3 linked regions of the Drosophila melanogaster genome follow. The protein of the gene in region 2 purifies or fractionates together with the protein of the main gene of each other region. This does not show direct contact. Each region holds a gene or a part of one and is shown on either strand. Other genes may lie near its edges.

What was found. The genes of interacting proteins can lie anywhere in the genome.
Region 1: the proteins of Arf4 (region 2) and alphaCOP purify together in Drosophila melanogaster (affinity purification with mass spectrometry, with the first as the bait; one study listed by BioGRID). This does not show direct contact.
Region 3: the proteins of Arf4 (region 2) and AP-1-2beta purify together in Drosophila melanogaster (affinity purification with mass spectrometry, with the first as the bait; one study listed by BioGRID). This does not show direct contact.

Annotation. Positions count from the first base shown.
Region 1 is NT_037436.4:1,639,381-1,648,190, reverse strand, and holds alphaCOP (coat protein (coatomer) alpha), read left to right. Parts: upstream 1-2,991; 5' UTR 2,992-3,021; exon of another isoform or gene 3,022-3,129; 5' UTR 3,130-3,233; coding exon 3,234-4,179; intron 4,180-4,235; coding exon 4,236-6,994; 3' UTR 6,995-7,125; downstream 7,126-8,810. Other genes in the region: Bro (brother), read right to left, coding at 1-286; CG17249 (uncharacterized protein), read left to right, coding at 791-2,209; CG13919 (uncharacterized protein), read right to left, coding at 2,254-2,649; Bgb (Big brother), read right to left, coding at 7,555-8,196.
Region 2 is NC_004353.4:1,120,465-1,126,412, reverse strand, and holds Arf4 (ADP ribosylation factor 4), read right to left. Parts: upstream 2,247-5,948; 5' UTR 2,149-2,246; coding exon 2,082-2,148; intron 1,978-2,081; coding exon 1,715-1,977; intron 1,646-1,714; coding exon 1,520-1,645; intron 1,464-1,519; coding exon 1,377-1,463; 3' UTR 1,088-1,376; downstream 1-1,087. Other genes in the region: Cals (calsyntenin), read left to right, coding at 4,840-4,954, 5,612-5,754, 5,807-5,948. UniProt on the Drosophila melanogaster protein: GTP-binding protein involved in protein trafficking; may modulate vesicle budding and uncoating within the Golgi apparatus.
Region 3 is NC_004354.4:19,727,997-19,736,266, reverse strand, and holds AP-1-2beta (adaptor protein complex 1/2, beta subunit), read right to left. Parts: upstream 5,264-8,270; 5' UTR 5,178-5,263; intron 4,893-5,177; 5' UTR 4,868-4,892; coding exon 3,443-4,867; intron 3,378-3,442; coding exon 2,037-3,377; 3' UTR 1,686-2,036; downstream 1-1,685. Other genes in the region: CG14234 (uncharacterized protein), read right to left, coding at 192-278.

The sequences.
Region 1 (8,810 bases), on a different chromosome or scaffold from region 2:
AAGCTACCATCGATATCTCCGCATAGCCCTTGCGGCAGTCGTTGACAAACCGCATCCTGCGCTCCTCCATTGCACGTTCCCGGTATCCTGTGTAGCGAACCTCGCTCTCCCTACTCAATCGGCGGAAGAGCTCGTCGCTATCGAACTTGGACCTCTGGTCAGGCACCACGCGGGGCATCTTGAAGATGAATCTGGGCTTGGGCTGCTCGTACATAGCCATGGCTTCGTATGGCGGGATCATTCCATTCATGGCGGCCGCGTCTCCGAGATTCTGGTGATGATGCATGTCTAATGTTATAACTGTATTCTCCGAAAGATATAGTTGTACTGATCAATGTTAAAATTGACCGCCTTATTTAAACAAAAAAAAAAAGTTGTAGAACAGGTAATCGGGAGCGATTGGGCTACCTAACGAATCCCCTAATTGTCGCCTGGTAATCAAGGATGGAAACCATCTGGACACAATAAGGATCAGGTATAGCACTTATAAGTATCCTATTTGAGGTTTGTTTTATAATCCGTAGGGTTTTTACAGCTCCGAATATTATACTTTGAGGATTGCAGGTATAATGCTATCATAAATAAAACGAACGAATTGAACGCACTATATAATTTTAAGTTTAAATTCGAAATTACGTTTTAGCGGTAATTTTAACAGTGTTGGTTAGCACAGCGCTTAAGCAAAGGGAGTTGCCAACCATGGCAGCCCAAGCAGGTGACAACTCTAGAGTCCGGGCACATTAAACAGCTGTTGTGTATTGTATTGTTTAACTTTAGCAATTTTATAAACATGTCGCTTGTTGCTTATGCTGCCAGTTCTGATGAAGATTCGGAGAACGAAGAGGAAAATTCTGTACCACAAGTGGAAGTAATAAAACCCCAAGCCAAGCCGAGCACACCAAGTGAAGCGTATCTAGCTCGGGAATCAACCAGTGGTCACATTAGTGATGAAGATGACGACTACGTTCCCCAGGAAGTGTCCCTTCAGGAGTTAAAGCCGCCCAACGGAAGACTGCTATTAGCCTTACCCAAACCAAAAGTCACTGCTCCCGCTAAGGATCTGGAAAATGAGGATGTGGACAACCAGGTTACTTCCGCCTTTGCCAACCTGCCCATGCCACGAACAGCAGCGAAAGGAAAAGCCATTGTAGAGGAGAAAGACGATGAGTTTCTGCACAAAAAGGCGCTGCCCGTAGAAATAGAGAAACCTCCACCGCCGCCAGTCAAGGGAAAAGTAAAAATCAGCATTCCTTCACTAAGAGATTTCTCAGATGTAGACCAGGAGAAAGCTGACAGGGCTAAGAACAAAGTTGATAAGCCCAATGTACCCAAGGGATCGGGATTGTTGAGTCTGCTGCCCCAAGCAAAGTCGGAGCGCAACTTCTCCAAGAACTCTTCATCCGCGGTAGCCTACCCATCAGCCAGCACTACTCTTGCTTCCAGTCTAAGCAATAATCCTGCGCAGCCTCGAGCAGCACCAGCTTTTGTTCCCGATACAGTTAAGCAGCGACGAGCTGCACACAACACCGAAGGCGTAGATGGCCCTAAGGCCGGGCACAAGAAGAATCCTGAGACAAAAGACGCTTTGAAGTCAACAAAATCCAAACCTATAAGTAAACCCACTTCGCTGGTAAATGCCAGCGATAGTGAAGATGATGACGAAGATGGCACTGGAGACTTTTTCTCCCTGAATTCCGAGCAAAAGCTGCCTGAGGTGAGCAGCAACGAGATTAGCGCTCTAGTGGCCAAGCGAGCGGCCAAGATGGTGGAAGCCAGTAGCAAGTACCTAGAGGAGGTAGCCGAGAAGGAAGCAGCCGAAGCAGAAGCCGCCCGACTTCAGGAAGAGCAGTCTCAGATTGCACAAAAGCGCTACCATGAGCAACAGTTAAACGCAGAGGCCATGGACGCATTGGTGGGCAAAAATGCCAAGCGCCGGCGGAAGGAGGCCAAGGAGATGCAGGTGATCGACATATCTGGGTCTCAGGTGCTACCTGATCGCGAGGAATGGATGCGATCGGCTCTGGCTTCGTCCACCACCTTCCAACCGACCGGCGTGCTGACGGACGAGGAGCCGGTGGCAGGGACTCGGCGCAAGCACCAGATCACCTACCTGGCGCACAAGGCGAAGGCCAACGAAGCCGAGCTGCAGGCCATGTGGTCGGCCAACCGGCAGACCCGTCGGGCCACCCAAAGCAAATACGGCTTTTGAGTTTTCACTTTATGTACACCTAATCCTACAATATATGCTTAATATTACTGTATCCAGCCCTCTCGTTTTCCCAGCCTGCTGCCAACATAGAAGATGGCGGTGCTCAGCAGCAGGATGACCGGGGCAACGGTCACGTATATGGGAATCTGTTGCGGGTACTCCAGCGTTAGGCAGATCATCACTTGGGAGGCGATGGTCAGCAGGACGCCGGCAATGTTCCATTTGTAGAGGAACAGGAGATCCGTCAGGCAGGTTAGGTTCCGCCACTTGCGGATAAATTTAATGATCACGTAGATGATAATGATCACATCGAAGAACCAGAGTGGCGTAAAGGTGACGAACCAATTCCAGGTGGTGCGTGGGTCCAGGCGGAGACACAGAAGAATCAGGAAGACCAGGACGATAAACCAAGTGAAGAGCGCCCGGTGTGCCAGTGTCATCTTTGTCACTTATTTATATATTTTCCATGGTATTACAGAAAATAAACAAAGCGAAGTTACCGTGAATAGAATGCACTTTGTCCAGTGCTGTAAAACTACGATTACAGTGGTCACTAAAAGTGTTCGTAGAAATACATTTACCAACTCAATTTTCGAATATTATTGACGAAGATTAAATATATTCAAAAATATCACGTAAAATCTGTATATTTAACTATATAAAGAAGACTGGAGAGCATGATAATTCATTCATATTCATGTGTGTACTTTTGAAAACTTATGGTTCCCAGTGTATGCACATCTGCCAACGCTGGCAACACTGACTGGGTCGCGAAGAAGAAGATAATTGACGTGTCACAATTTCGACGATTGGTTGGTGTTTTTCATAAAATTAATTGTTGGCAGTATATTACGTGTTACTTGTAGCGTATCAATAAAATGGGTTTGTTCTAACACCCACCTCTTGATGTTTTGATACAGGCAAGTGCTCGAACCAGCAAAAAAAGGGCGCTTGACGGATAAGCCGACACCTAGAAGTGCATCCAATTTGAGACACCTACAGGCAGAACAGAAAAAGTGCCACCATGCTGACCAACTTCGAGTCGAAGTCGGCGAGGGTGAAGGGCCTCTCCTTCCACCCTAAGCGCCCCTGGATCCTGGTCAGCTTGCACAGCGGCGTCATCCAGCTGTGGGACTACCGGATGCACACGCTCCTCGAGAAGTTCGACGAGCACGACGGACCGGTGCGAGGCGTGGCCTTCCACCAGCAGATGCCGCTCTTCGTCTCTGGCGGCGACGACTACAAGATCAAGGTGTGGAACTACAAGCAACGCCGATGCATTTTTACCCTCCTGGCCCATTTGGACTATGTGCGCACGGTGGCTTTCCACCACGAATACCCATGGATTCTGAGCGCCTCCGACGATCAGACCATACGCATCTGGAACTGGCAGTCGCGCAACTGCATCTGCGTGCTGACGGGCCACAACCACTATGTGATGTGCGCCCAGTTCCATCCCACGGAGGATCAGATCGTTTCTGCTTCACTCGATCAGACGGTGCGCGTGTGGGACATTTCGGGGCTGCGTAAGAAGAACGTGGCTCCCGGGCCCGGTGGGCTTGATGACCACCTAAAGGGTCATCCGGGTGCCACTGATCTGTTTGGCCAAGCAGATGCCGTGGTCAAGCACGTGCTCGAGGGCCACGACCGTGGCGTCAACTGGGCCAGTTTCCATCCCACCCTGCCGCTGATTGTCTCCGGTGCCGATGATCGCCTTGTGAAGTTGTGGCGCATGAACGAGTACAAGGCTTGGGAGGTCGACACCTGTCGCGGTCACTACAACAACGTGTCCAGCGTGTTGTTCCATCCCAGGCAAGACCTGATTCTCTCCAACGGCGAAGATCGCAGTATTCGCGTCTGGGACATGACCAAGCGCCAGTGCCTCTTTACATTCCGGCGGGACAACGAGCGCTTCTGGATACTTACAGCGCATCCGACCCTGAATCTGTTTGCAGCTGGCCACGATGGAGGTTAGTTGATTTCTTTTAGGAATAGGAATTTTTTGTAATGATACATATTCTTTCAGGTATGGTGGTCTTTAAACTGGAGCGAGAGCGTCCTGCATATGCTGTCCACGGGAATATTCTCTACTACGTCAAGGAACGTTTCCTTCGCAAACTGGACTTTACCACCACTAAGGACACTGTGGTTATGCAGCTTCGACCAGGCAAGTCGCCGGTGTACAGCATGTCGTACAACCCAGCACTGAACGCCGTGCTAATCTGCACGCGCACCAACAACCTGGAGAACAGCACCTACGATCTTTGCCAAATCCCCAAGGACACCGAGAGCCAAAGTGAGTCGGACAGCAAGCGAAGCTCTGGAATCACGGCCATCTGGGTGGCACGCAATCGGTTTGCAGTGCTTGATCGCAACCAGCAGTTGGTGATCAAGAACTTCAAGAATGAGGTGACCAAGAAGTTGCCAACTTTCTGCGAGGAGATCTTCTATGCCGGTACGGGAATGCTGCTCATTCGGGACCCTGAGTTTGTCACACTGTACGAAGTTCAGCGCCTAGTCTCCGTTGGAAGCATTAAACTGGCCAAGTGCCGCTACGTGGTGTGGTCTCCGGACATGTCCTTGGTCGCTCTACTCTGCAAGCACTCGGTTACAATCTGCGACCGAAGACTTCAGTACTTGTGCACCGTGCAGGAGAACTGCCGCGTGAAGTCTGGCGCCTGGGACGAGTCTGGAGTGTTTATCTACACCACTAGCAACCACATTAAGTACGCCATTACAAACGGGGACCACGGCATCATCCGTACGCTGGACCTACCCATTTATCTGACACGCGTCAAGGGCAACCAAGTGTTCTGCTTGGACCGGGAGTGCCGCACCCGTGTGCTCCACATCGATCCTACGGAGTACAAGTTTAAGCTTGCCCTGATTCAACGCAAGTACGATGAAGTACTGCATATGGTGAGAAATGCCCGCCTAGTGGGTCAGAGCATCATTGCTTACCTGCAGCAAAAGGGTTATCCAGAGGTGGCACTGCATTTTGTCAAGGATGAGAAAACCCGATTTGGACTCGCTCTGGAGTGCGGTAACATCGAAATTGCTCTCGAAGCAGCCAAGGCTCTCGATGACAAGGATTGCTGGGATCGCCTGGGACAGAGTGCGCTGCTCCAAGGAAACCACCAGGTGGTAGAGATGTGCTACCAGCGGACCAAGAACTTTGACAAGCTTAGCTTCCTCTACCTGATCACCGGCAACTTGGAGAAGCTCAAGAAGATGAACAAGATTGCCGAGATTCGCAAGGATGTTTCCGCCCAGTACCAGGGTGCCCTCCTTCTCGGTGACGTCAAGGAGCGGGTAAACATCCTCAAAAACTGCGGACAACTTTCGTTAGCTTATCTCACAGCCGCTACTCATGGATTCGATGAGCTCACTGAGTCCCTGGGCGAATCGATAACCTCGCAGGGTAACAGCCTTCCCGAGGTGAATCCCAATGCCCAGTTGTTGCAGCCACCAGTGCCCATCCAGCAGCTTGAAACCAATTGGCCGTTGCTGTCCGTGTCCAAGGGCTTCTTTGAAGGCGCCATGGTCACCAGGGCTGGCTCCAGTGCCACTGCCCGACAGGCGCTGAACATCAACGCCGATGCTGCACTGTTGGACGAGCATAATGGTGGTGGAGATGGTTGGGGAGCGGATGCCGACTTGGGACTAGATGAAGACGGAGATGACGAGATGCACGACGCGCTGAGCAACGATGGCGATGGTGGTGCGGGTGGAGAGGAGGGTGCCGGCTGGGATGTGGGCGATGATGACCTGGTTGTGCCCGAGGAACTGGCCTCCAAGATCAAGGCCTCAGCCCTCGACAGCAACTACTATGCGGCTCCCAACAAAGGCTTGTCTCCTGCCCAACAATGGGCCAACAACTCGCCTCTGGTCCTGGACCATGTCAAGGCCGGATCATTCGAAACCGCCTTCCGTTTACTGCACGATCAGCTGGGAGTGGTCAATTTCCAGCCATTCAAGACACTCTTCCTGCAGAACTACGCCTGCTCTCGAACGAGCTACACGGCCAATCCGAATCTGCAATCCCTAAGTGGTTACCCACTTCGCAACTACTCCGAGACAAACATCAAGCTGCAGCGTCCTGCGGTTGGCATTAAACTGAATGATTTGGTGGCACGCCTGCAAGCTGGGTACCAACTGACAACTTCTGGAAAGTTCTCCGAGGCAGTAGAGAAGTTCCATTCCATCTTGATTAGCATCCCACTGCTGGTAGTGGACACGAAGCTAGATGCGGCGGAGGCCCAGCAACTCTTAAGGATCTGCGCTGAGTATATCGTTGGCCTGAAGATGGAGACTGTGCGCAAGGGCATGCCCAAGTCGACGCTTGAGGAGCAAAAGCGTCTGTGCGAGATGGCCGCCTACTTCACGCACTGCAAGCTTCAGCCCGTGCACCAAATCCTCACCCTGCGTACCGCCCTCAATATGTTCTTCAAGCTGAAGAACTACAAGACGGCCGCCTCATTTGCCCGTCGTCTCCTGGAACTGGCGCCACGACCGGACGTTGCCCAGCAGGTGCGCAAGATCCTGCAGGCCTGCGAGGTAAATCCCGTGGACGAGCATCAGCTGCAGTACGAGGAGTTTAATCCGTTCACAATCTGCGGCATCAGCTGGAAGCCACTGTATAGGGGTAAACCCGAAGTGACCTGTCCCTTCTGCTCCTCCTCTTTCGACCCTCAGTTCAAGGGCAATCTCTGCACAGTTTGCGAAGTGAGCCAGATCGGCAAGGATAGCATTGGCCTGCGCATTTCAAACCTGCAATTCCGCTAGGACGGACTAGCTTGTCGCTTTTAATATAAATGTTTCCAACACGCCGAGCGAGACCCCATAGTTTAGTTTTACACGATCCTTGCTTATTATGTATAAAGTTCAGTATCTGTATATTATAATGCTATAAAATCAAACCAAACGACTTGTTTTCTTGATCGATACCTAGCCTCGGTAGGCAATTCCCAGTGAAGAGTCTTAGTCACTCTGCTTAAAGGTGGAAATTCCAAAATGAACAATGCCATATAGATTAGTAATTATGTATTTTAGTTAAAGATACGACACTAATTTCACACTAAGTTGTAAGTATAATACCATAAAAGCATACGTAAAGTAAGCATTACATCTAACACTAATCTAGGAGCATAATTATTCGAGCGTGTCTAACGTAATCGTATTGAAATCTCTCAAGTGAAAGCCCTCTTAAGGGGTTCGGAGCATTCTCAGTTGTCCATGAAATATTGAGTATTCGCGAATTGAGTCTCTAACTGCTGGTGATGCGTCTGCTGCTGCTGGGGAGGCAGCTGCGGATGGGACGGCCCAGGAGCCGTCCACAGGTCCAACTAACGACGCCACATGCTGGCGCCAACGCCAATGCCTCCGGAGGCCACGCCCCGTCGCACTGCCTCCATCTCGTCCTGTCGATTGTCACGGTAGGCGCGCTTAGTGTCCTCGAACTCACGCAGTCGCTGGTTGTAGCGATCGATCTGATCCCGCAGAATGGCGTCCTCGTGCATGGCGCGCCGCTCGTCATACTCCAGACAGCCAACTCCGTCCAGTCGTTCCAGGTCTATCCATCCACGGAACCGGACACAAACCCCGTTCATGATAAAGTAGGACTTGATGTGCACCTTGCCGTGCTCCTTGTCAAAGTCGCACTCCTTGTCGTGCAGGTACGGGTTCTGGTTGGCGTTGAACACCAGCTGCAGATTGGTGCCCGATGCCACGAAGCTGGCCTCCGTGTGTCCTTCGCGACATCCGTTCATGAAGCGCACCTGCCGCTCCTCGATGCTTCGTTCCCGATAGCCCGTGTACCGAACCTCGCTCTCCCGACTGAGCCTCCGGAAAAGTTCGTCGCTCTCGAACTTGGACTTCTGGTCCGGGACCACACGAGGCATCTTGAAGATGAAGCGCGGCTTTGGCTGTTCATACAATCCGATGGTGTCGTAGGGTATCATATTGGCAAGTGCCGCCTCGTTCATCATTTTAACGGGTTTTCGCGATTCGTCCGCTCGATGGAACGCTGAATAGGGTATGTTTCTATGGGTGCTTCTGCAGACCGCTGCGTGCACACAATAATCCCTGGAACTCGGTACCCTGGATGGGTTTCTTTTGGTCGCTCCTTCGACGAGCCTTCTGCGTATACACAATAAGCTCTTGTATCTTAGCACTCTGAATGCTAATTGTTTAAATTTCTCGCCTCCGTCGAAAAAAACAACGCACAATACAACAAAAAGGTTGGTTTGCGGTTTTGATATACCAACTGACGCGGCGTTGCCACTGGGAAATAGTGGAGAAGTCAAAACGTAGCGATGGAAGCAAAAGCACGGCACGAGCACCAAAAACTTATTCTTATTATTCATTCGAATTATGGATATAAGTCGCAAACATAACAATACATATTCATTTTACTTACCTACGGGTTTCATATTTAATTTACCAGTTTTTATATCATGCATTTTAACCATGAAACGATATCCGCCAAGGTATTCAGTCACGAGTACATCCCTAAAATAAACTATTGATGGTCTGGCAGCACGATTACATTTGCCCGCAATTTTCAACTTTATTTTTCCCTTTTCTCTAAGGGGTTTCGGTA
Region 2 (5,948 bases):
ATAGCCCATTTTTATACCTGTTACTCGTAGAGTAAAAGGGTATACTAAATTCGTTGAAAAGTATGTAACAGGCAGAAGAAGCAGCGTTTCCGATCCAGCCGAGTCGATCTGGCCATAGATATTAGAGTCTTTAATCTTATATATCTTACGAACTAAAGCATACAGATTCTAGACGACATAGACAATTTTTTTGACCCATGTTACCACGCCAATTTCAACACAAACAAGCTGTAGAAGAAGCGTTTCCGAACATCCAGCCGAGTCGATCTGGCCAAAGCTATTAGTGTCTTTGATCCGGCCATGGATATCTAGACACCTCACGAACTATAAAAGCTAGAAGATTAAGATTAAGCATACAGATTCTAGAGACATAGACGCAGCGCAAGTTTGTTGGCCGATGTTGCCAAGCCAATTTTGACGCAAACAAACTGGCCAAAACTGTCCACACTTTTGAAATATGTTTTGATATTTTTATTAGTCTTGTAAATTTCTATCGATTTGCCAAAAAAAATTTTGGCCACTCGCACTCTAACGCAATAAAACCACCCAAAACGGCCTCGACCACATTTTTAAAAAACTTTCGATATTTTTTCATAGTTTTATATTTTGTCGAATTCTTTCTCGAATTCCACGAGAATCAGATACCATTTACTCAGCAGGAAGTGTGAAAGATTTCAATAAGAATAACCAATTTTTTAAGAATGTTCGGCATGTTTGAGCGATTTTGGGTGGGGGGTTTTGGGGATTTTGGGTTACAAGACTAATAAAAATATTTTAAAATATCAAAAGTTTTCTCTCCGTAAATACCTCTGGAAGCTGCATGTCTAATCTCAATTCTCTACCTTTAATAGTTCTCTTCATACGGACATAGAATCTGCATGTCTAATCTCAATTCCCTACCTTTAATAGTTCCTGAGACCGAGGCGTTCATACGGACATGCCCAGATCAACTCGGATATTGGTCCTGATCAGGAATATATATTCTTTCTAAGGTCGGAAACGCTTCTGCTAACAGTTACGTAGTTTTCAACAAATCTGGTGGCTATTAAAAACTGAATTAACATAAATGAGTACGAATCAAAAATATGTTTATTTGATTGAATTCTGGTAATGGTATTGAGGCATACTAATAAAAAAACGAACATATATTTTCCCGAATAAGTAAGTTAAAAATATATTTTTATTAGTTATCCGATCACTAATTTTTAAAAATACAACTAAGGCAAGTGCAGTTTTCTCACCAACACATAAAACGTGGACATTTTAAATTTACAACAAAGTTCCAAACGAGTTTATATACATTTACAAGTTTATTTAAAATCTAGTTTTCAGCATACGAGAACAGCAATTCCTATCTTACAATATAAGGAATATTTTTATTTTTTAGCCAATTCAGCTGATAGCCAATCAAGTCCTTCATAAAGACCGTGCCCTTGGGTAGCACATGTAGACTGAATAAACCACTAAAAATGGGTAGATATAAGTAAACATTTTTGGGACAATTACCCCTAAGACATACGTGGCGATTCCTTAATTGGTTAAGGCGCAACTTGTCCGTAAGCTCGGCAGCTGTCATTGCATTCGGTAGGTCCTGTTTGTTGGCAAAAACCAAAAGTACCGCGTCCCTAAGTTCATCCTCCTGGAGCTGTGGGAAAAATAAACATGGAATTGGTTGACACGTATGTATATACTTTTAATTAAATAAAATGAGTACCATGTTCTGTAGTTCTCTTTCAGCTTCAGTTATACGATCGCGGTCGTTGGAATCCACTACAAATATAAGACCCTGTGTATTTTGGAAATAGTGTCGCCACAACGGGCGAATTTTGTCTTGGCCACCAACATCCCAAACGGTAAAACATATATTCTTATATTCCACAGTCTCGACATTGAAGCCTATGGTTGGTATGGTGGTTACAATTTCACCCAGCTTTAATTTGTACAGAATAGTCGTTTTTCCAGCAGCATCCAAGCCAACTGCGTACAAAAATATTTAAAATTATGTGCACGTTGATTGCAAGTACTTAAAAATTATGCGCGAACTAAAGGCTTATATTTAGTGTATCGTATTTTGAACATACCCATAAGAATACGCATTTGTTTTTTTCCAAACAAACGTGTCAAAAGACTAGATATTGTTAGTCCCATGTTTAATAAGAAACTATTTTATTTCGTATAGGAAAAAGCTTGTCTTCAGTAACTTCAGTAAATTGACGTGTAAACTAGTCATTCGATTAATAATGCTGTACTTTTCAGAAAAGTTAAACGATGGTTAAAAATACTGTTTTCTATAAAATACTAATAACAGTATGTTGACTATACCCTAAGCATGGTCTGATGAAAACAATAAAAAGAAACACAAAACTACATCGATAATACAATGTTTTGACTGCGCCATTAAGTCGAATGTCGATAAAACCATTTTCGTGTACATTTTTTAAGTGAAATATTTAAATTGACCTAGAAAGGCTGCCCCCAAGGGGTTAGTGAGCATATAACTTAGACTCGGAGTTACACAATTTTTAAAAATCACAACTGTTTTTTACGAATGTGCTCTGTAGGACTATGGTATTATTCGCGAATTCTAATTGCCAAAACAACTTTTTCAAATCAAATTTAAAAATCAAATTTAAAAACGATGTTACAAATTTTTCAAACACTATAAAGCTGCCTGAAAACAAAAAACTTAGGTTCTTCCTCTCTATTAACCAAAAATTAAGACATTTTTATTAATCAAAGGTCTGCTATTGCCAATATGTCGATATCAGGCCAAGATAAATGACAATCACTATATTTTGGTTGCGATTTGCAATAGTTAACAACATAAATATTCTGCCTCTGATCAAAAATAAAAAAAAAATGTTGAGTCTTGGGATATCAAGGAATCAAAATATCTATATATGAAAATATCCTACCCAAAAATTCCAGTCATTTGTAAATCAAAACAGCGTAAGCACCCCTTAACTTTCCTTTTAAACAAACCATGGTATCACTTAAAATTCGATTAAAATGTTAGAGCATAGTCTCCACAGGGCCTTATATGTTGTTTTTTTTAATCACTTTTCAAGTATTAACCACTTCCACACAAGGATCTGAAAATGTCGGATAAACGTTTCCAGTGTATTGACTTCTGTATTTAAACTTACAACTAGTTTTTCAAACGTCACAAGTAATTATTTTGCTGACAAAAGTAAGAAACTATGTAATGAAACAAAAAAAATTATTTTCTGAGATTTTGTTAATGTGCCCCGTCTAATTAACTTGTACTATTTCATATTTGAGTCGATTTAAATCTATGCATATGTAAAAGTTATAATCAAAGTATTTAGGTTACGCATGATTCCCTTCGGATAGGTTCGCTATTCGTTCAGTTAGGCAATCCAAGTTCATTACAGAATGTGTATCTCTTGGATACAACACATACACAAGATTTTCTCATCCATGCATATTCATATATACTAATGTAATACATATATGTAATCCAACAATCAGTTTCACTGTGGTACATTTTATAATGTTTAATCATATATAGTCACGGGAACTAGAGTTTATACACGGTCCTCGAATAAAATGTGTTTTGGAGCTGTAAGCTAATCAACAAAAAATGAGACTAACTAAAAAAAAGTGCTACTAAAATTCCCAGACTTTCCACTTTCTGTCCTACATATATATAATTAAAGAAAATCCGAACCAATTTGAATAACTTATCTATTTTATTCTAACACCAACAACAACTTTAAAAAGTTTTTGATTTAACGTAAAAAATTGGCCGTAATTCTTGTTGCTTTGGTTACATTCTTTCTATTGTATTGTACCAACGAAAAAAGTAGAGAAGCACCGAGACGGTAGTGGAATTATTCCGGAACACTTTCGATACTCTTTTTCGAGTGGAAGTGGTTTCATGAGGAGGAAATTTGGTGTTCCTTTTTGCCGGGCTCTTTCATACTTCCCGTGCTGTAGGAACTCCGTGAAAAGCTTCTGTAAGCATTCCCTAAATGTCTTCTGGATATATTCCGAGACTATATTACAATACTTTCGTAAACATTACTCAGGATTGTTTTCTAGATACTTTCCAGAATAAATTATCAGGAAAATTTATATTGAGTGCTTTGAAAGAAGAAGTGTTTCCAAAGTATAAAACAAAATCTCGGCTTAACCAATATTTAATTTTTTATTATTATGAACTGAACTCTGTAATACTTCTTTTCCTTGAACGTTTCTTTTTCTCTCAAAATTCATTCATTGTTTATCCTTTCATAAGAGCCCTTGAAGCGCAAGACTGTGTAATCTTAAAAAAATGTTCAGAAATAAATATAATTTTATGTGTCTGCAAAAAATTTATTAAGCAACAAAAAAATTTGTCGAATTTCGTTTTCGCGTTTTCAACATATTGTATAAAAACTGCGAAAGGGTGTAGGGCCTACACACGACAAAACTTTGTCTTATTTTACCACGTATTAGAAAGAAAAACTACTCTAAAGTCGAATGTGTCATCACAGAGTATAAAATTGCAATGTATTATATTATTATTATTTTTATCTTAAAGAACGGAAAATAAACATCTACTAGGTACATGATTTTTAAAGATTTATTGATACGAGTTTTGGGAAAATATAAAATATAATCTTCAATATATACACATATGTACAATATATTTATGTAAGTTCATGTAGTTTTAATGCTTTTAAAAATAATAGAAAGGAAGAACACTAATTTAAGAAACAAAACAATTGTGGTATTTTTGCTTAAATCGGTGTTTGCATTTCAATATGAAAATCATTTTCTTTCAGCAAAATAAATATATTTGGGCTTGATTATTAAAGAACTTCGAATAGAGCCATGACGTTTCACAAAACCTTTGGTTACGGATGCATTGTATTAATATGTTTTGAACTCCTGTTTGCTGGAGTTGAAACGTCCAGCGAAAATGATGATGAATATTTAACACAGAAAGGTATTGTATATCCCTTTACTTTACTGAAATTACACCTCAGAATCGAAATATTTATACATCTTACTCGTAGAGTAAAAGGCTATACTAGATTCGTGTAAATGTATGTGCCAATCAGAAAAAAGGGTTTCCGACTATATAATGTATATACATATATTCTTGATTAGGATCAATAGCCGAGTCGAACTGGCCCTGTCTGTCTGACCGTCCGTATGAACGTCGAGATCTCAGAAAGTATAAAAGCTAGAAGGTTGAGGTTCAGCATATAGATTCTAGAGACAAAGACGCAGCGCAAGTTTGTTGACCCATGTTGCTAAGCCCACTCCGACTTCCGCGTAAAACTGTCGCGCCCTCACTTTTGATAAATGTGTTAATATTTTTAAAAAGTTTTATTGCCCAAAAACTTTGCCACGCTCATTCTAACGCCCTAAAACCGCCCAAAACCGCCACGCCCATTTTTGAACAATTTTGAATTTTCTCATTTTATTCCCCACTATCTATCGATATCCCAGAAAAATGATGATATTTCGCCTTCGCATTCACACGGGTATCTGATAGTCGGGAAAATCGACTATAGCATTCTCTCTTGTTTATTTTGTAACATCCTTGGTTTAGAACTTTAAAATAAGAGCTGTATTAAAATTACTTGTTGTATTTCAGAAATCATATTAGAAAAGTCATATCACGGTTTAATTCGAGAAAATGAAACACTTGTAGAAATAACTCCCCTTATTAAAGTGAACGAAGAGAAAATTTGTAACTTCCATATTCTCAAAAAACCGTATCACGAAATTCCATTTAAGGTAAGTTTTAACTACTTTTTAGTAATGTAATAACTTGCACTTCATATTTTAGATTGAACTGGTAAATAACCTAGGTATTTTAAAAGCACGTCGGACACTAAATTGCGAGAATCGTAAAAGTTATCACTTTGAAATCTGTGCAATCTATTGTGATGGAACACCTTCAAATACAGCCAATGTTCATATTACTGTTA
Region 3 (8,270 bases), on a different chromosome or scaffold from region 2:
ATGAAGCTCTACATACATTCGCGTCCTCGCAGTGACAAAGCTGTTGACACACAAACCCCACTTATACACATTATACTCGACACTTTGCATATTGTAGTCTCGACTTAACCTAAAAAGCGTGCAAATATGTCGAGGGTTTGGGAAGAGGGGTTGATGGACAAGGGCGGTTGCGAGGGGCTGCTGATACGAACCTTGATGAGAAAGGGCCAGTCCAGGTGGGTGGTGCTCATGGAGTCCTCGCTGCCGTAGTCATACACCATGTCCGCCGCCACCCTCATTCCGGCGGACTAATTTTTGGCGGACCCTTCTCAACGGAATCTGCGATCTGGTGTACTCGATGCTCTTGGTCTTGTCCTTGTTGTTCTGGTTCTTGTTCTTCTACACAGCACTGGCGGATTGTCCTCTTCGTGGCGTTGTTTCGTGTTGGTTGCTCTTCACTGGCACAAAAGGACTCCGCATTCCTGCACCGTTCGCAGGGGCATGGTTGGTTACACCTATGCCTGTACACCTATACTACCACCTGGCTGGATTGACTGCGAAATAGGGCGTAGCACCTGGATGTCCTTTTGCAGCGAGTGTCAAGCGATCCTGCGGCCAATTTACTGCGGGTACATTGCAGTATTTGCACACATTTTCGCACTGCGACGTGCGATACGGATTCGTTACAATCGGGGCCAAGCCAGAATAGCTTGTGGTACAACAGGAAAACAGTGGAGCAGGCAAACAGTCAGTGTGTCCTGTGGCCACGACAGGGATGGCTACACGTCCACGTCCTCGATGGGCAAGCCTGTCCTCTCTTGCGCTCTCGTTGGTCGCACAGGCATCCAAACAACCCCCGAAGGGTTCGCGCGAAAGCTTCGAAAGCTCAGGCGCCGAAGCTCGACGCCACCACCCATCCTTCGCATCCCTGACCAGGTATACCACATTCCGCTTATACCCTTAACTGGTCCACTGCTGTCTTGATGAGCCCATTACAACCATTGCTAAGTGGGTGCCTCAGTTAGTACCAATTGCTGCAATCTTTCCACTGACCAGCATGATCAGTTGGGAATCCATTATATATATATATATATGTATATCCTTTGCATACAACATGGTTATCCCTGTAAACATGGAAGCAAAGCTTTGGGATATGGTTTGACTCCTCGGTAGCTTCGATAGCTTTGGGTGTCTGTACAAATCGCTACAGAATGCTCCACTTACATACGTGGGCCAATGTGGGCGTGGCCATAGTTTGACGCAAAGTTGATCTGCGCGGGAAAAGCGCTTTGCAACTCCTATCTGATGGATTCTATATTTGCAGCAGGAAAACCTCTTTCTCCTTAACGAATTTTCAAGTAAATATGATATTTCAAATCTAACTTTTGAGTTTCAAGCCTAGTTTTGGATTTTAATGATCCTAAATATTGATCAATATATTGACTTTTAACCTAACTGATGCAATTATTTTCTCAGATCTTCGACTTAGAAAACTTACTTTGATGCACTTTGACTTTGAGCTGAAAGTATAAAAATCTTTCAGGCTTACGAACGGACAAATATTATAATACACAGTTTTAATTATAATACTAAAATCATAAATCATAATCATGCGTATTTGGAACCTTGTAGAAATGACCATTGAAAGCGAATAGAAACTGTGCTTAGTGCAACTGCCGTCGAGGAAAACAATGTCACAATTATTTAGTGTTTCGCATTTTACTAGGACACAAACATATACATAGATGCCGACCATAGGACATATGGGGTTACAGAGTTTTGGAATGCGGTTATGCAACGTTGCTATTACACGTTAGTACACTGAGTGACAAGCAGCTCCGATTAACAATTAACAGATCTCTCGACGAACCCGATTGGATTTTATATGTGTGCATATGCATAAATAATATATGTAGGTGGCGATTCGGCCAATACACAATATAATAATAATACGTAAATTTACAACTTATTGTTGAGCTAATCTTCAACACACGCAAATCGATAGCTCCAATTGCTTTGTGCTTATCCTATGCCATCGGATGTGCGCCATGGAACGCTTATGGAGAACGGATGATGGCCTCGTAGGCGGCGAAGATTATGTTGGCCACCTCCACGGAGCGCGATTTGAGGCTGAGAGTGGCTTCCGGATTGCCCGGCTGCAGCTTTAGCTCCAGCAGCACCCAAATGTTGTTGGTCAGCTTGAGTGACTGGTAGAGCATGTCCTGGCCCTCGACGTTACGCTTGGCGATGGTGAAGATGTTGTTGGTGGTCATCTTGGAGGCGATGCCGTCGGTAGTGCCAATTACACCGCTCAGGGTGTACTGCAGTTCGTTGGCGGCGGGGATCTCCTTCCAGGTGTTGAGGAACACGCGCTTGTCCAACTGCCCATCCTCGGCGAACAGCACGTTGCCGTGCACCAGGCACGCGAAGTAGAAGATGTCGATGTTGTTCTTCACGGCCACCTGCAAGTTGTTGAGCGGCTCCATGCGCTGAATGGGTCCGTTGGTGCCCAAGGCCATGCTGACCTCGATCGATTGGTTGGGTGGAAGGGGAGCAGCCTGCATGGGCGACGCGGGCACCAGGCCGAAGCTGTTCTTGTTCAGTTGGATGGCGAAGTTAGTCATCGGCTGCATGGCTTTGTTGGTCAGAGTCATGTCCATGAACACCTCGCCGTTGCGGCGTGAGAACGTTCCTTGTATTTCGAGTCCCTTGCCCTTCTCCGCTGGCAGCCATGTGACCTTGGGAATCTGAACACCCACCGATAGCGTTGCTCCGCCCAGTCCAAAAATGTCGCCTAGCAGGCTGGTGGCACCGCCGGGAGCCGCCTCTGCTGGCGGTCCACCGAGGAGTATATCAAGACCGCCGCCCAGAAGGTCCACATTGCTGGTGGCGGCCGGAGCAGATGGCATGGCGGGTGCGTTGATATCCATGGAGAGCAGATCTCCAATGAGCGACTCCTGGTTGGGAATGACCATTGCCTCTGAGCCGGCTGCGTTTTCTGCTTGCTCTGCACCAGCTGCAGATCCAGCGGCTCGGTTGGGCAGCGACTTGCGCACACCGGCTCCGCGACCCTCCACGAACGCGGTGGGAGGCTTATGATAAACGCTGGCCAGCGAGCTAATGTGGCAGATGAGCTCGTCCAGCAATGTCGGCTCCAAAAGGTCGGTCTCCTCTGAGATGAGTGGCTTATCGGCCAGCACCACCTCCTTGGCGGCGGCCGGGTCCGTGGACAGGAGACGCCAGTAGATGAAGCCACGGTCACGCAGATCGGGGTTGTCCGAATCCTGGGTAGCCAATGATAGTACGTGCTGCACCAGCTCCTGGGTGTCCGACGGGCGCTTGAGGAACAACTTAACCACGGCCGTCAGCAGCTGCAACTGCACCTGTGCATTTTCATCCTGGCGAAAGAGAAAATAGCAATTCAAAGTCCTGATAATGTTGGCAAATCCAGAGAAAAACTTACCTGGAATCCTTCAAGGAAGCTGTCAAGCAGCTCGTCCGCGTTGTCAATGCGCTCTGCGTACTCGCCAATGATCCAAACCATTGATGCGCGTGCCTCCGGCTCGTCCAGAGTGTCCAGATTCTCGCACAGCGTGCTGATAATGCTCTCGTACTTGTTGGGGTACTTGCGGAAGATGTCCTTGATGACCACAATGGCCTCCTGCACCACGTAGTTGACCTTGGTCTGGATAAGATCAAGCAGCGTGGACACGCAGCGTTCGGCTGAGGGCTCCACCTTAATGGCGCATCGCCCGATGGCGCGGACTGCCTTGCGCACAAAATCCACGTCCACCTCGGTGGCGTACTCCTTCAGCTCGCTAAGCACCTGGGCGATGTTGCTCTGGTTGGCCAGGCGGATCATAATGTCTAGCTTCTCCAGTTTCACGTAAATGGGATCGTTGTATTTCACGAAGAACACCTTCATTTCGTGCTTGAGAATGTCTGGCCGCTTCTGGACAATCAGATTGATGTTGCGCAGGGCCACATACTGCACCTCCGGCTCTGAGGAGAGCAACGTAACCAATGGCGGAGCCAGCTTCTTGGTGAGCGTGGCGCAAAAGTCGCTGTCGCTGGACAGCATCTCGAGCAACTTCATCAGCACCTTGACGGCGCTCAAAACGACGGCGGCGTTGGCGTGAGCCAGACGCGGAGTGATTCGCTCGCAGATGGACTGCGCCTCGCGCTCATCCTTCGGGCTGTAGTTGGCCAGCGAGTCCAGGATAAAGACCTGGCCCCACTCGGTGCACTCGTTGAGCGCCGTCAGCAGCTTGTTAATGGTGACCGAGTTCATCTCCACGAGGGGCTGGCCGGACTGACTTGCCTCGTTAATCTCGCTAAGAGCGGCCACCGCATTGGCCACCACCATGGGATTCGAGTCAGATAGCAGATCCTTCAGTTGGTCCAGAAAGCCTTGGTCCTCCACCATTGTGGCTGAAATGTCGTACAGCTTGGCCACGCACACTGCGGCCGTCTTGCGCACATACGGATCCTCGTCCTTCAGGCACTTGCGCAGCGGCTCGCACAGGTACTCGGTGATCTTGTCCACCCGAATGCAGCCCATGGTGCGCACGGCCAGCGCCCGGATAAGCGGATTGGAGTCCTCGCAGTCCTTCACGAACGTATTAACCGCCATGATGGCCATGTCCGGCTGCGATTTGGCGTAGTTCATCAGATAAAGGTAGACCAGCTTCTTCAGCTCCAGGTTGTCCGTCTGCATGCAGTTGACCACGTCCGGGAAGAGGGCGGACACGTCTTTGCCCACGGTCATGCTGGCGATCACCTTCTTCACCGCCTCCTTCTTCTTCTCCTTCTTGTCGTTATTCAGCTCCGACTTGAGCTCGAAGATCTCGCCCTTCTTGGTGGTGGTGAAGTACTTGGAATCAGTCATCGTGGCTGCTGCTCCTAGCTGCGTACTGAAATTGGAATCGAGATTGAGTTTAGAGAGGGGAACGTGGAGTTTCCGGCACAAGAAGTGCGATTATTGATTGCAATCCCCCCTCACAACACCACACCACATCTTGGGGGCGGAATCATCCGAATACCAACACATTCGCCCCTATCGCAGCTTGAACACGTCTCAAAAGGGGCCCGATTTTCGGGATGACTCAGAACTGGCCAGGGGAAAAAGAAGCCCTCAGTTGGACTGCGCCTATGCCCACTTGGGGAGACTTCTGCCAACGCAGCTTGCTTTTAATTACCTTTCAAATAGTTGATTTTCGGGCACAAAGATTTGTTAGCTTTTCTCTTCTATCTGCAATTAGTGCGACCGTTTACAGGGGAGTGACTTGTCGAAGCGCTGGTATTTTTTCTGTTTAGTATTTTGATAAATCGATTAGTTTTTGCGATTTTATCGCAAACTGATGTTTTGTGTTATTATCGAAACATTTTTAAATAAGTGGGTGCATTAAATTCCTTTTTTTTGGAAATTGGTGTTGATCAAGGTCAACATATCCTACTCGTAAAAGAGCTCAGATTAGGAAAATCATGCAGAAGATTTTTCCAGATATAAAATAAAGGACAGCCAATGAAGTAAACTGAAATCTCAATGAAAAACGAAGTCGACGCTCTCACCAGAGAGCAATATAGCGAATTAGAGTGAGATGGCTATATTACATCTGAAAAGTAACGGATCGTAAAAGCAACAGGCTAACTTTGTTATTTATAATAATGTTATACAAAATTTAATTTTCAATTGTATTTACAAATTATTTATGTTAAAAAGTTCAATATCTTCACCTAAAATTGATGTCAATATCCTTTTTCAATATTAAATTAGAATGAAAGACGGCAGTAACATGAAATAGAATATTTATTTCAATAAAATGCGCTCCTTTAAGTCTGAAAGGAAAGTACATTATGTACGAATGTTTTAATAGAAATTTTTAATTGTTCGATGCCTTATCAAAAACCGAGACTTCCGTGATCCCCCATTGAAATAAACATAATTGAATATCCTAACAATTTTATTTTTTAATATTCTCAAGAAATATCATTTAATAAGTTATTAACACATAAAACAAATCAAGAGTAGTATTGAATTAAAAAATGTTTTGTTTTCTTATATTTTAACATCATTTTCATTTCATTTGCTTTTTATCGATCCATTGAAATATATATATACATATATATATATATATATATATATCATCATTTTCACATGGGGATTTTCCCATATAAATTGTATATTAATAGTTGCATATTAACTTCATTCGCTCACGACTTTCTCATCACTTGTATCCTCTTTTCTTCTCCTCACTTTCATCTATTTTTTTTTTTTTTTTAATAAATAAGTTCGGAATAACTTTAAAAATTTTGATGTTTCATTAGTAAAAGTTGTAAAGTTCGCTATTACACCTTAATTATATACACGTTTAAATAAATCATATTCCAGTAATTCAGTCTTATGAAATAAACAAAAACTTAGGTCCGGTATATTCAGCTGGAAAATCAATCAATAAGAAAACAATCGTCCAAAGCCATTTCGAATCAATAAAACAATGAAATGCGGATTATTCCGATTTCGTTTTTTTTTTTTTCATAATCAGGCTTGGCTCCTAAGTGAACGGTCTTCTTCGTCCTTATCTTCGTTTTTATTGCTGCTCTTATTGTTGTCCGGTTCTTTTTGTTGTGTGCGTGTCTATGCGTGTTTGTGGATGCGATTAGGTTTGTTCGTCCTCTGCCTATCCAGTTTTTCTGATTCTGAGTGAGCATAGACCTTGGAGTGGATTTTATCCTCCGTTCGAGGGATTAAAAAAGTACGGAAACAATATGTGGTAGTGAAATGCATACTTTTGTTAACGGAAGCTTCTGGTTTTCCCTTTACACTTATCAATATATATATTGCACGTTATGTTGACTTGGTTGTTATTCGCTTTAAATTGGAACTGTAGAAAATCTATTAAAACTATCATATTCCCATAACATTTATCTTAATTTGGTGGTATCGAAAGAAACGAAAGGTGGAAGAGCGAGCAGCTTCAGCCCGCAGTTACTGGATTGCCTGTACTGTAACATTTGTCATTTGTTATTGGTATTGCCTATTTATGTGGGTGACCGTACATATAGTACGGATAGTACGGATTGTAACTCTTCGGAGCGCACACTCAGCGGATAATTGAGAGCCCTTTTCGCCGATGAGCACTGTAGTCCGCATAAGGAAATGAGCAAAGTTTGACCCAACTTGGTAACTAACGAAAGCAAAACATGGAACGGGACTTTAGCAATTGGTTATCGGCGATCGGTGATCGGGTATCGAAACTATCCGATGAATGTGGGCTCGCTGAGCTCCGTTACGTTTTGTATATCAACTTTAAGCTGTGTGGTAGGATATGTTATTCATTAGTTGTTACATTTGTATCTGAGTTTCGTTTCCCTTAGTTGCATTTTTCTAGTGTCTTGTTCATAAAAATATACACCTTTGGTAGTATGTACGTATAAGTTGTGTATGTACAAATCGTGTTCGGTTCTGATGTTTTGAAGCGAGTAGAGGGAGTCCTGGTGAACAAAGGCATAGATAAATATTACGTGGTGCAGGACCGTTGGGTGGCACTATATCTTAAGTAGTTGGTCCGGAAAGCTCCTCTTCGAAAACCCTAATATTGAGTGAGTGGAACATGGAACTCGTTTAGTTTCGGTCTACTGGTTCAAGAAGTGCATGGTGCATTGATTTGGCACTCGAAATTTAACAGATTCAACGGAAATGAATGGACTCGAACGAAATACATACATACATAGGTTGAAATCAAGAATCGAATGTCTTAGACGGTACGTTTGTTTTGTATATAAATAGTGTTCTTCTCTGTTGCGGGGCTAGATCGAAAGATCGAGGGCTAGCCCTAGGTTATTGAGTTTTTGTTGCAATCTTTGATATTCGCTATTCGGATTCTTTCCTGTACAAAGTCGTGAAGTACAAAAGGAATAAATTATCATAAGTATTATTATTATTATTAAAAAGGTTGATTTTGCTTTAACTTGCCATACTTGTAATTTAGCTAAAAATAGTTATGCATGGTTTGCTTGTACATAGTATATAAAGTGGAAAAAAGTATGCTTGTACTTGTACATAAATGTTTTCATTATCATATTTGCTTTTGGTTTAAATATCATTGTGTTTATACATATTTGTAGTTATGCTTGCTTTGGTTTTATCCTTGGTTTAAGTTTGAATAGTTCAATAAATATTTGGTATTCTTTGGTATTCGTCTATATGGTAATTTTTATAAATATATATGCATATTTGTATAATTTTTGCTTCGTATTCCATTAGTAAAATAAATTGTATTACAACGAAT